3 linked regions of the Coturnix japonica genome follow. The protein of the gene in region 2 interacts with the protein of the main gene of each other region in a pairwise test. Links are inferred from orthologs where the notes say so. Each region holds a gene or a part of one and is shown on either strand. Other genes may lie near its edges. The genes, in order: KIZ, TACC3 and CIB3.

Region 1 (3,648 bases), on a different chromosome or scaffold from region 2:
GTGCACTCTCCCACCTCAAAGGTGGCAGCCAGCATGCCTGGGATTGCATTGGGCTTTCCATGCCCCCTCCCAACATTTCATGTCCTTCTGCGCTTCCCTCGCAAGGGGGAGTTCAGGCAGGCCCTGGCCATGCTCCCAAGTTTGAGTTTGAAACCAGAGCTCAAAACCAGCCACAATCAACCCTGCCATGAAAATCACTACCGCAGAATCATCTCCTACCTCCCCACATTGCCTTGGGAGATGCAAAGAAACAGACAAGCTTGAAAAAGGTTTTTCAGGATAAAGCTTCAGAATAGTTTCCCCGTGTTGGGAGGAGTAGGGTGGGAAATGGAGCAAGGAGAAATACACCTGGAGAGCCTTCTTTCTGACACATCTTCTAAATCTTGCAGAAGAAACACAAGCTTCAGTGGCTTTTATATTCAGCATATTAGTTATCTTCTTGAAATAAGAAGAGCACAGACATAAACTGTGCCTAATAATAAAATTTTTTCTTTAAACAACAAAAATTAAATGGGCCAACCATTGCAGTTGTATATTAGCATTGCCACAGAAATTCCCATGGTTTTGAATGAAACAGTATTCACAGCTAGTGGTACAGCACCCAACAATTCAGCTCATCTCAGGCATAGGTTCCCTGAGGCCCCAATTCTTGAGGGCTGTGACAAATGGCAGCTCACACCAGGACCTTCTGTCCCCATGCAAAGCCTGACAGTGTTGACATGGAAGCACGTAAGATGAAAGACAACATCAGGACAGAAGTTATTTAGGAATGAATAAAGAAATGGAAAAAATAATAATAAAGAAAAAAAATTAAGAAAGGAGGCCAGAAAAAATAAATCCACAGAAGATCATCTGATGGAGATGCCAGTTATTGACTATAAAGACCATGATCGTTACAGGACAGGAGTCCCTTCATATTAGGGTTGCCACTAGTTTCCACTAGGAAAAGCTCAATCTTAGCATTTCCTACATAGCTTGGAAAACTTAAAAGCTAGAAATTGCTGTATCAACTGGCAGGGGAGGGGAAGATATTTCTGCTAGGTCTTACAGAAAAAAAGCCAAAGAAACAGTTACTTAGAGACAAATCTTCATTACTGAGATTTCAAGAACAAGTCTGTTAGCTTACTTCAAAGTGAAGCAGGAAAGAAAACATTTTGCCATGATAGCAAAAGAAAAGGTGAGAAGCAGCCTTTAAGCGCAGCCTTCCATTCTCATACATGTACATCCCAGCTGGAAGACAAGCATCACATCCCTCAAGAAAGTAGGGAACAATTCAGAACAAATAATAGTTAATCTAGTCTCCTGCATGGAAGTGATGATTCTTGGTCTACATTTGCAAATTCACTTTTCAGAACTATTCTGAATAAGCATTTGAAGAATGAAATCAATCCAAAATAGAGATTTCCTATTTTGCCAGTAAATTAAGTTGACATTAAACCTCTTAAAAACAGGCTCAAACAACTTCAAGACAATTGTAGGCACAGCAGTGAAGAAATCTTCGCTTTCTTTTAGCTCCCAAGTTAGACTTGACCAAGCCTCGCATCAACTAGAAAAGCAGTGTGCCTTGGATGAATGAAGGACATTCATTTTACTTTACTGAATAATCATCCAGTGGGGTAGAGATCCCTCTCATATTTGGGGTCCATCTTAAGCAGGCTGCCAGGACAAGGCAGCCTTGTAGAAGGTACTACAGGACTGACAGCAGCGCAAAAGGTCCAGGTTCGGCTGCTCACTGCTAGTTTTTGCTTTACACATCCCCATCCTCCTCCTCTCCCCAGCTTTGGTCTGCTCAGAATGAAAAGCAAAAAGCTAAGACCCTGAAGATGGAGCAGGGGATATTCAGCAGGTATTCTGCTGTCAGGGGTGAGCAAAAAGAGCAGGAGCCTCAAAATGCCCCAGCTAAAGAATGAAAATCCAGCAGCTTTCATCGCCAGTGAGACTTTGATGAAAAACCTAGGAGGAAACAGACAAGAAAAAAAAAGTAGAAAACGAACAAAAAAAGAAGAAAACAGATGAGAGTTCTACTGCTCTTCAACCAAAGTATAAGAGCTGTAGGCAAAAACCCAGCAGCTGCATGCATGTGTGTGTTTGGGATGTGTGTGTGTGCTGCAGCAGCACACTGGAGCAGAGGTTCCACATACCAGAGATGCTGGGCTCAGGGGCAGGTGCCAAGAGGACAGGGTGCTCACAGACTTCTTTTGCACTTGTTACCAGGTGCTTGTGGGTCATCACCTCCTCCACTGATGTATCACTTGCTAAGTCAGCAGTGCTGCTCTGCACACGTCCTCCATTGGGTAATGCTGAGCAGAGTTCACTGGAATTTTTGTCTTCTTTAAAATTCAGAAGACTGCTGTGCAAGCTGCTGTCTCTGATGGGCATCTCCTCCATGGGGAGGCCCAACTTGCCACCTTGCTCATCAGGCTTATTGTCACGCTCCGTGTCACCACCAAATTGTGTGGGATGCCTGTCTGTATCATCACCACGCAAGGTTGTCAGTCTGCTGGGGCAGGCAGCAGGCTGCGGGGGTTCCTGCTGCACACTGCAGGCAGACATGCAGCGGCCTGTGAAGAATGGCACCGGATGATGCAACCTTCTGGACACAGCTGTCTTGACATGAATTCCTGCCTGCCTTGCAGCCTGTGGCATCTGGAAGACACAGGTGCAAGATGGTTAAAGAATCAAACAGGTAGCATGCTGCAAATGAAGCTTCTTGAGGATTGTGTGCTAGTTTCTGAAGGCATAGACAACACATTCTTCTGTCCACTTGCTTTAAAGTAAATGGAAATAGCAAATGCCCTCTCTGTGAAATTCTACAGCCCAATTTGTCATCTGCTCCCACTAGAGATCAGCAAAGGTGGAACCCAATACATCTGGTACAGGTTACCCCATCACATCCGAAAATAAGCACAACTCATTGAAAGCATCTGCCAAAAAATAATCCTTCAATATGGCTAATACTACCATTAGATGATGAGCGCCATCTCCCCCCTCTGCAGGAATAGTGTCAGCTGCCAGCAAGTTGTCATTTCATTCTGTGCACCCTTTTTGTTGGACCAGCTGCAGAGCTGATGCTGGAGTACCAGATCCCACCTCTGACACTGCAGAACCCACTGGTTGCTGAATGAAGCCATAGCCACTAAGAGCCACCCTCCTTGGCCAACACAAGCCAGCGTGAAGTATGCGCTAGAATTTGACTTTGCTTTCCACTTATGTCTTGTCTACTAATGGACCAGCAGCAGCAGGAGTTCTTGGGCATGCAACATGGCAGAGATGGGTCTTGAGCAAGCAACAGGATAAGGAGGGATCCCAAAGAGACTGAAGTCTCCATCTGCCATCATCTATCTATATATCCAGCTCAGCTCACTGCACATTAACATAGCAAGGAAAACTGAGGCAAACAAAAACAAAGCCAAAAAAAAACCAACACAGCCAAACAAGAATTTGATTCATTGCCTTCTGTTCTTTCCTCCAGCCGACCCGCACCAAACAGGAAGAATGAGCTAACAAGCAGGTGGAGTTGTATTTTGCACAAGACAACTTTGGGAACTGAGCAGAAACATTTCAAATGACACTTTCACCCTAGAACTCTGCTGAACCTGCATAAAAATCATTCCAACACTATAAATGCTCCACTTCTACATTCATGTG
Region 2 (3,648 bases):
TCTTAGTCTGGTATAGATACAATATTGTTGGAGCTTTGGTGGCAGTTCTCTGTTTAACTATCTGTCCTTAAAAATAACTTCTGATATTTCTAGTATTAAGGGCTTTCTAGATTGAGAGCACTAGAGCTATGCAACTACCTGTCACTGAGTTGTGTAGGTTATTCAGAGGGCTTGCAGTACTGATTAATCACTGCAATGTGAATGGTCTTTCTGCACTTACATGTGTGTCTTGAATGGTTACCATATAGCTGTAAAACACCTGGAAATATTCCTTGTAGGATTGTTGTGTGGAAGGATGTGCAAATGATTGAAGTACAGTCTGACACTTATATTAATACCTAACTGAGATCAGTACATTGAGAAACAGTGACATCTTCATTGTTCAGCTTAAGCTATTACTAATTTTAATGATGTGATTAACAGTCATGCTGTTTTGAGGCACTGTATAGAAGAGAAAAATGTCTGAGTATGCTTGATGCTCTAATTGTGGAACAGCAGAATTTCTTGCAGCTATTTGGGGACAAATAGTGGCTATAAATTTAGTTTAGAAAACTGTCAAATGTTTTATTTTCCAGTTTGAGTTAGTTTTCCATCTGCTAAAATAAAACACCTCATGAGAATAGAGTTATACTTGCTGTATGCACAAGCATATCTGTTTCAGACTGTAGATGTTTCTGTAAGAAACAGTGAAGATACAGTACTGTCATATAATTTATTTTCCAGTTTTCGGAATGGGCATAGACTATCTGGAGCAATTTGGAACTTCATCTGTAAGTATGGTATTGAAATGTTTTGGTTTCTTCCCTGACTGAGGAAAAAGGAAATTGTCAGGCCTTAAATGTTGTCATGAAGTAGCTTGGCTTTGAACTTGTTCACAGAAATACAGGTTCTATTTCACAGGAATGTGTCTATAAGGCATGGAGTGGTGGGGAGGAAATGTGGTTATAAGTAATTTTGCCTAAGGATCAGAGGTCCTGTGTTTCCAGTTTGCAGAGGTGCTTTTTTTTTCCTTACGCTGGTGAAGGACAGATGGATGATATTCCCATCGCTGGTTGCCAAAACAAGAAGAGAATGAAAGGTCATTGCTTTGAAAAGTTTTAAGCTCCTCTGTTTTATGGGCATTTTCAGGAAGTCTGTCTCTAAATTGGGCATGTCATATTTCAGTCAGTTTAGCTCTGTGGTTTTTTCCCCTGCTTTGAGCCAGAGTAGGTGTGGCTTTGAATATACAATGAACATACTGAGCTGAAAGTGTTTTTTAGTTTTGTGTTTGTCCTGAGACTGCTTGTTCAGCTTACAGTGCCATCTTCATCTTTTAGCATCTTCTGCTGGTTTTGAATAGTTAATATAAACTTGTCCTTTTGGTTTTATCTATGAACAGAGGACTGAGATCACTTGATGTTACATAAGGACTTAAGAACTCAGTGCCCACAAGCCTAAGTATTTTTCTCCAGCAAACAATGCTCTGGCCACACAAGAATAGACTCACCCTCCCTCTGGAGGACTATTTGTGTGTGGGGAGGGTGGGACGGTGGGAGCTTATCTACAAAGCAGCAAATCTGCCACTTTGTGCCTTTTCTCCTCAGTTCAAAGAGTCTGCTTTGAGGAAGCAATCGTTGTATTTGAAGTTTGATCCTCTGCTGAGAGACAGTCCTAGAAAGGAACCAATTTTAGGTACTACTGAAGCAAACACGAATATCATGACTGCTCCACTTCAGTGTGGGTAGGTATTGATTTAATCTAGCCTGTAGTGAATAGCTTTGCAAGGAAACACAGCACTTAAATATAATCGTATATGTTTGTTCATTTTTAGCCCTATTTCTGATTTAAGCAATCTGCTTGAAGAAACTGAGAAGCCTGCATTAAGTCTTCAAAATGAGGAAAAACCAAAAGGACTAGATCTTCTAGGAACATTTACAACTTCTGTAAGGATGTCTGGAATTATGTGAAGTTTCATGTTGATAATTTGGGGACGGGGGTCAGCTGGAACATGGAGTTAAGATTTATGCTGAACTTCTAAGGATTGCAGAGTACTTAATGCTTATTTAAACTGCCATCTTAAAGAGGTTGGATACCCACTATATGAAGTTGAACTTTTGATGTACTTAATATTCTAGTATAAATTTTCTTGTTTGTTTGAAGCTGGTGGTGTTACACATGGTCTAGTAGGAGTTTCTGAACTGTTCTTAAGAATGCTTTAATCAAAGCAATCCTTTGCATGTTGCTAAAGCTGTGAAAGAAAGACAAGCTTGTGTTTTAATAGAACTGCTGAGATGAGAAGTGTTTCACTGATTAAATTTGATGCCATACAGTATAAAACTTAGAGCAATGAAAACACTTACATGAAGTGATCTGTGCATAGTTTTTAAACCTGAAAGGTTGTTTACTGGTGGGGAATAGCATGCTGTCTGTCTTGTTTCTGATTGTTAGAACTGGTGGATAGCACTTCATTACACCTTTATTATGTTGTCCTATAGTATACCAACAAGGTAGGAAAGGTAATGGTAACTAATTTATGGGTGTATTTTAGGATGAAGATTCTTAATATATGGATTTAGTATTAAATAACCTTCAAGCAGCTAATGACTACATGAAAATCAGAACCACTTAGAACTCAATTTTTGTCTCTTTACAGGACCCTGGTCCCATAATTCCAGACTCCCTGGCATGTGATGTTTCTCCACTCCCTTTTATTGCTTCCACAAACACTGCAGTGGATGCTATTGTAGATGTGCTGAAATATAGTCAAAAAGATATGGATGCAGCTGTTGAACTGGTTAAAAGAGAGGTAAGGTGACCCTTGACTCTGTATTGCCCTGAAAAATCTCTTTTGTTTAGATTACCTTTTGTAGGTTTCTACACTTGGCAATTCTATCCATCATACTTGACATCAACATCTCATCCAGAAAAGCTTGCTATTGCTTGATAGGACCAGTAGGTATAGAACTATTGGTTTTGCACTTGGGCCGGAAGAACCCCAGGCACCTGTACAGGCTGGGAGGAGTGGTCCTTGAGAGCAGCTCTGCAGAGGAAGACCTGGGGGTTCTGATGGACGAAAGACTCAACATGAGCCAGCAGTGCACTCTGGCAGCTCGGAAAGCAAATGGGATCCTGGGCTCCATCAGGAGAGGGGTGGTCAGCAGGGATAGGGAGGTGATTGTCCCTCTCTACTCTGCTCTTGTGAGGCCCCATCTGTTGTACTGTGTCCAGGTGTGGAGTCTTCAGTACAAGAAAGACATGGAGATTTTGGAAAGGGTCCAGAGGAGGGACAGGAAGATGATCAGGGGGCTGGAGCACCTCCCCTATGAGGACAGGCTGAGGGAGCTGGGTTTGTTCAGCCTGGAGAAGAGAAGGTTGCGGGGTGACCTCATTGCAGCCTTTCAATACCTGAAGGGAACTTACTCCCAGGAGGGGAGTAAACTCTTGGAAAGGGCTGACAATAGCAGGACACGGGGAAATGGTTTTAAGTTGAAAGAGGGAAGATTTAGGTTGGATGTTAGGGGGAAGTTCTTCACTAGGAGAGTGGTTAGGTCCTGGAACAGTCTGCCCAGGGAGGTTGTGGATGCCCCGTCCTTGGAGGTGTTCAAGACCAGGTTGGACGGGGCCCTGGGCAACCTGATCTAGTAAAGGTGTATGTTTGGTGGCCCTGCC
Region 3 (4,374 bases), on a different chromosome or scaffold from region 2:
TTTAACCTCTACGCAATTTCAGGGTGTTTTCAGGAAATCATTAGAAGTTTCCAGAAAGGTTTGACTTTAGTAAGCAAAATTTATTTGTATTTCATCCCCTTAGTAATTAGTACTGGATGAATTATTAAAAATGGTAGATTAAACTGCTCGTGTCACTTGATTCCAGCTGTGCTCCTTGCTCTGTACCTTCAGCTCTGGCATGCTGCCAATGAGCTCATAGGGAAGTGTCACGTTTGGTTTATTGGTGTAGTCGAGTGGGACGAGCTGCGGGGCCAGATCTCGGTATCTGTAGAATAGTCTGAAAGAGAAAGGAAGGCTCATTCAGGGAGCAAGTTATTGAGACCTTTGAGAACAATGTGTTTGCCTTATCTGTTCTTCATACTCTGCATCCTTTACCAGAAGGATGGTATCAGTCCCTAAGTCACATTTATCATACTCTGTAGTAGACATTAGTGGAAGAGGCAACATTAAAAAAGCAACACAGTGTAACTGGTGATAAATACAAAGCCCTCGTGCTTTCAGAACAACTTAACAGGCTTTTATTCACCACAAGTATCTCTTTTTTTTCCATCACAGCCAGATTCAGGAGACAGAATGTATGCACAGTCATCTGGATGTATTAGTACTTTGTCAGCTTGCAATTTTCTTCATCCCTTTGTGTGTGTGAGGATCCCATTCATAGCTGTCATCAACAAAACAATAGCATAGAATTTTAAAAGGGTTTCTTATCAATAATAAATGTCTTATTCATGACACACTTATGGCTCTGGCCTCTACTTACTACAAGGAGAGGCAGATTTAAATTTCAGTTATTACGGAATCTTTCATTTTTTATCTAATATTTAATTCATACATAGGTATCAAAGCTCTAAATGGGGATATTCAGTACAAAACTGTTATTCATGCTCCATCCTTCAGAGCTATTAGCAAGCAATGCCTGAATTTGAGAGACTGAAAAGTCTTAGTCCCATAGGACCAGAATACCAAACCTGCCTTTGGCAGATCCTTTGGCCAGGGGTTAAATAGAGTATTTGACGAAGTTCATGAAGGCTTTGAGAAGAATGCAGCTCAGGGTAATCACTGCTAATTATTTACATGAAGGAAATGTGAATCAAATTGGATACAATCATTAATGATTTCTTAAAACAGGCAACATGTCCCGAGGTACAACAGTACATTTTGAAGCACTTGTCCTAAAACAAAGTGAAGGGAACATGGATGTCAGCAGCAAAGTACACACAAAAATATGCCCTGTTACATTTATGGTGTAGAGACTGTTACCTTCACTGAATATTTAAAACCCGGCTTACTTTATGATAGATTGTATAGATAGTTTTTGTACATTAAAAGAAGAAAAAGAAAGAAAGAAAGAAAGAAAGAAAGAAAGAAAGAAAGAAAGAAAGAAAGAAAGAAAGAAAGAAAGAAAGAAAGAAAGAAAGAAAGAAAGAAGCTCAGATTGTCCAATGTATGACTTTCATTTTGTATAAATGCATTTTAAAGTTACTTTAAAGTGTTCTTCATCTTTCATACAATCTGTTTTGTAGCAGTCTCTGTATTTTGCACACAGAACATACACACAAGACTCACCTCAGAATTTCTTTCCTCGTGAAGAATGTGCAGTCCTATGAAATAAGACATCATTGTAAAGGCAGCTTTTAGCACTCATTGGCCCTGACTCTTCCACTAGTGACTCAAATAGAATGATGCTGTGGCCGAGCACTAACACCCTTTCATTTTGTATATAATTAGGAATACTTTATCACTTTTCTTGATGTAAGAACCAAACTAAAGTGTCTTACTAAAATCTTCACTGTAATTCAGTTCTCCTACTTAGTAAGTTTTAAACAGATTGCTTAAAAAAATAAAAATAAAAACACAACAGCAACACCATTATTCAGTGTTCTGTCTAACAACTCATTTAGTTTGTTTTGTACCTGATATGCATCCAGTTGCTCTGGAGTGAAGATGGTTTGCTTGTTGCCCATTTCTGGCTCTGAACGCTGATTCTTCTCCCATCGTTCTTTCCTCAAAGTCACCTTTATAGGAGGCCTGGATATTCAGATATTAAAAGCTGCAACAATGAGGTTCAGGTAAAGCAGAGGATCAAGTAACCAGCTTCCCTATTCTATGGGCTACAAAGAGCCATAATAGGAGCACTTCATCAAATCTCTAGTCTGGCTACTCACGGCTCCTATCCAGCATCACTCACCTGTCTCTGTGCACACAGAGCCTCATGTTACAGCACTGAGCCACACGACTAATAGCTTCTGGTCTGTGCCTTTGCAGCAGCGGGCAGGGCTCGCAGACAGCACATCTTCATTCCTTCATATGGCAAATTACCTGAATAGTGTTGGTAATGCCTTTACTTGTTAAGATTGGCGCTGAATGCTCGGAGCTGGTCACAGTGGTGGTCACCACTGATCTTTTTTGTCTCATTTTTCGCTACAACACACACTGCATTGCTCACTAATGTCAGTATTGGCTTTTCTTGGGGCAATACCTGTAAAGTCCTCTTAGCCCCTCTATCTCTCCATTAACACACATTATCTCTAGTTAATGTCCATTAGTGTGACAAGCATGCATATATACAGGTCCATATGTGGCTTTTACACTGAAAATACAAGAGATTGCATTGTTTATACATGAAAACAGAACCGTGAGTTAAACGTGAAACACAAGGGTAGGGTGTGGAACTAACAGCAGCACCACAGGAGCCGCACAGCTTCACTCACCCTTAAGGTGCCTTAAAACAAGCGGCAGCGATTCAGATTCGGTCGGTTCGGAGTGGAACACCGTGGGTTGGGCTCGAGGTTCGGGTTGTGGCCGGGCACTTCGGGGCCGCTCGGGTTGTAACGGCTTTTACCTCAGCGCCCTGTGGCGGGAACGGCGCTGCCGCCAGGGGTCGCTGTGGCGCTGGGCGGCCGAGCGATGGCGGACTACGAGGCGGTGCAGCGCGGGCCGCTGCGGCTGAAGGGCGGCGGAGCGGGGCTGGGGGCCGGCAAACGGTGAGCGGCAGGGAGAGGGGGGAACCGGGAGCCGGGCCGGGGGCTGGGAGCTGAGCGGCGTCTGTCCGCAGGAAGAAGAAGAAAGCGAAGGACAAGGCCAAGATCCTGGAGCAGATCGTGAGCAGCAAGAAGCAGGAAGAGGAGAAGAAGCGCGGCCTGGATAAGCGGACCCCGGCGCAAGTGGCCTACGAGAAGATGCAGGAGAAGCGGGTAGGGCCGCACTGCCCCCGGGACGTGGGGCGGGTCGGAACCCCACGGCAATAACTGTGATCTTGTGTCTTCTTCCAGCAAATGGAGAGGATCCTGAAGAAGGCCTCGAAAACACACAAACAGAGAGTTGAGGTGAGTGGAAGTACCATCAGCTGGGCAGCGCTGTGGGGAGGGCTGCGCGATGGTGAATGCTCCAATTCTGAGCGCTCTGTTCCTTTGCTGCCCCTCAGGATTTCAACAGGCACCTGGACACTCTGACGGAGCACTACGACATCCCCAAAGTCAGCTGGACCAAGTGAACGGGCGGCGTTTCGGGGCCTCGGGTCAGGAGTTGTGCTCACACCAAACAGGGCTGCCGTGTAAACCTCCGTATTCATGATACTGAATATTTCATATGTCTTCGGAACATTTATCACCTTGTACTGCCGTATTTCAGTTTCAAAATACTCAACAAAACCTCTTCTTTGGCTGTTGACTTATGGGGTGTTTTTCAGTGCTCAAAGCTGAACCCAATTGCTGTGAGACAACAGGAGAATGTTCCTTTATTTGTCCTATGCCAGCAGCTCTTAGAAGAAGCAGTCTGTGGCAGCATTACATTGTATGAGCTGCTCTTATCAGTGGCAGAACTGTGTAATTCCTATATAAAATCTCTGAGTTGGGGCAGTGGTGTCTGCTGTATTCTACAATCCTTATGTCTTTACTGTAACTTATTAAAAAGCTCCTTTTATCCATTATTTCGGTGCTCCTTTCCCTGCAGTGAGGGTGGTGTGCTGCATGCAGTCTGTATGGCTGCATTTACAGCTCTCACAGGTGATGTGAATCACATCCCAGACCCTCACACACTAATTCAACCCAAGCGTTTTCCCTCTGGTACCGCTGACCCGTCCCGGGGCTCCTCAGCCTTCCTAACTGCGGACTTCAGCCGGCCGCGCACTACTTAACGTCAGCAATCGGTGCCTTAAGTGCTGTTCCGCTGCCGGCGGATCACTGCGCGTATCCCTCCGCGCGGCCGGACCTTGTGCAGCCGCTTCCTACCGGAAGTGGCGGGCGGAAGCGGAAGTCGCTGTGACTGTGATCGGGCGCGGCGGGCGCGGCGGCCCCGGGCGGCGCGATGTCGGCCAGCGCCGTGTACGTGCTGGACCTGAAGGGAAAGGTGAGG

The links.
Region 1: the proteins of TACC3 (region 2) and KIZ interact in binary tests that used the Homo sapiens proteins (3 or more experiments, as listed by UniProt). The two-hybrid records come from large-scale screens. The link is inferred for Coturnix japonica from reciprocal best matches to the Homo sapiens genes TACC3 and KIZ.
Region 3: the proteins of TACC3 (region 2) and CIB3 interact in binary tests that used the Homo sapiens proteins (3 or more experiments, as listed by UniProt). The two-hybrid records come from large-scale screens. The link is inferred for Coturnix japonica from reciprocal best matches to the Homo sapiens genes TACC3 and CIB3.

Annotation. Positions count from the first base shown.
Region 1 is NC_029518.1:4,156,583-4,160,230, reverse strand, and holds part of KIZ (centrosomal protein kizuna), read right to left. Parts: intron 2,647-3,648; coding exon 2,142-2,646; intron 1-2,141. UniProt on the Homo sapiens protein: Centrosomal protein required for establishing a robust mitotic centrosome architecture that can endure the forces that converge on the centrosomes during spindle formation. Required for stabilizing the expanded pericentriolar material around the centriole.
Region 2 is NC_029519.1:76,062,221-76,065,868, reverse strand, and holds part of TACC3 (transforming acidic coiled-coil-containing protein 3), read left to right. Parts: intron 1-723; coding exon 724-770; intron 771-1,583; coding exon 1,584-1,720; intron 1,721-1,810; coding exon 1,811-1,922; intron 1,923-2,632; coding exon 2,633-2,785; intron 2,786-3,648. UniProt on the Homo sapiens protein: Plays a role in the microtubule-dependent coupling of the nucleus and the centrosome. Involved in the processes that regulate centrosome-mediated interkinetic nuclear migration (INM) of neural progenitors.
Region 3 is NC_029543.1:3,471,596-3,475,969, reverse strand, and holds the start of CIB3 (calcium and integrin-binding family member 3), read right to left. Parts: upstream 2,848-4,374; 5' UTR 2,733-2,847; intron 2,341-2,732; 5' UTR 2,236-2,340; coding exon 2,210-2,235; intron 2,072-2,209; exon of another isoform or gene 2,050-2,071; coding exon 1,935-2,049; intron 1,623-1,934; coding exon 1,588-1,622; intron 299-1,587; coding exon 187-298; intron 1-186. Other genes in the region: protein FAM32A, read left to right, coding at 2,929-3,005, 3,077-3,215, 3,294-3,347, 3,446-3,514; AP1M1 (AP-1 complex subunit mu-1), read left to right, coding at 4,327-4,368. UniProt on the Homo sapiens protein: Acts a an auxiliary subunit of the sensory mechanoelectrical transduction (MET) channel in hair cells. Plays a role in regulating hair cell MET channel localization and function.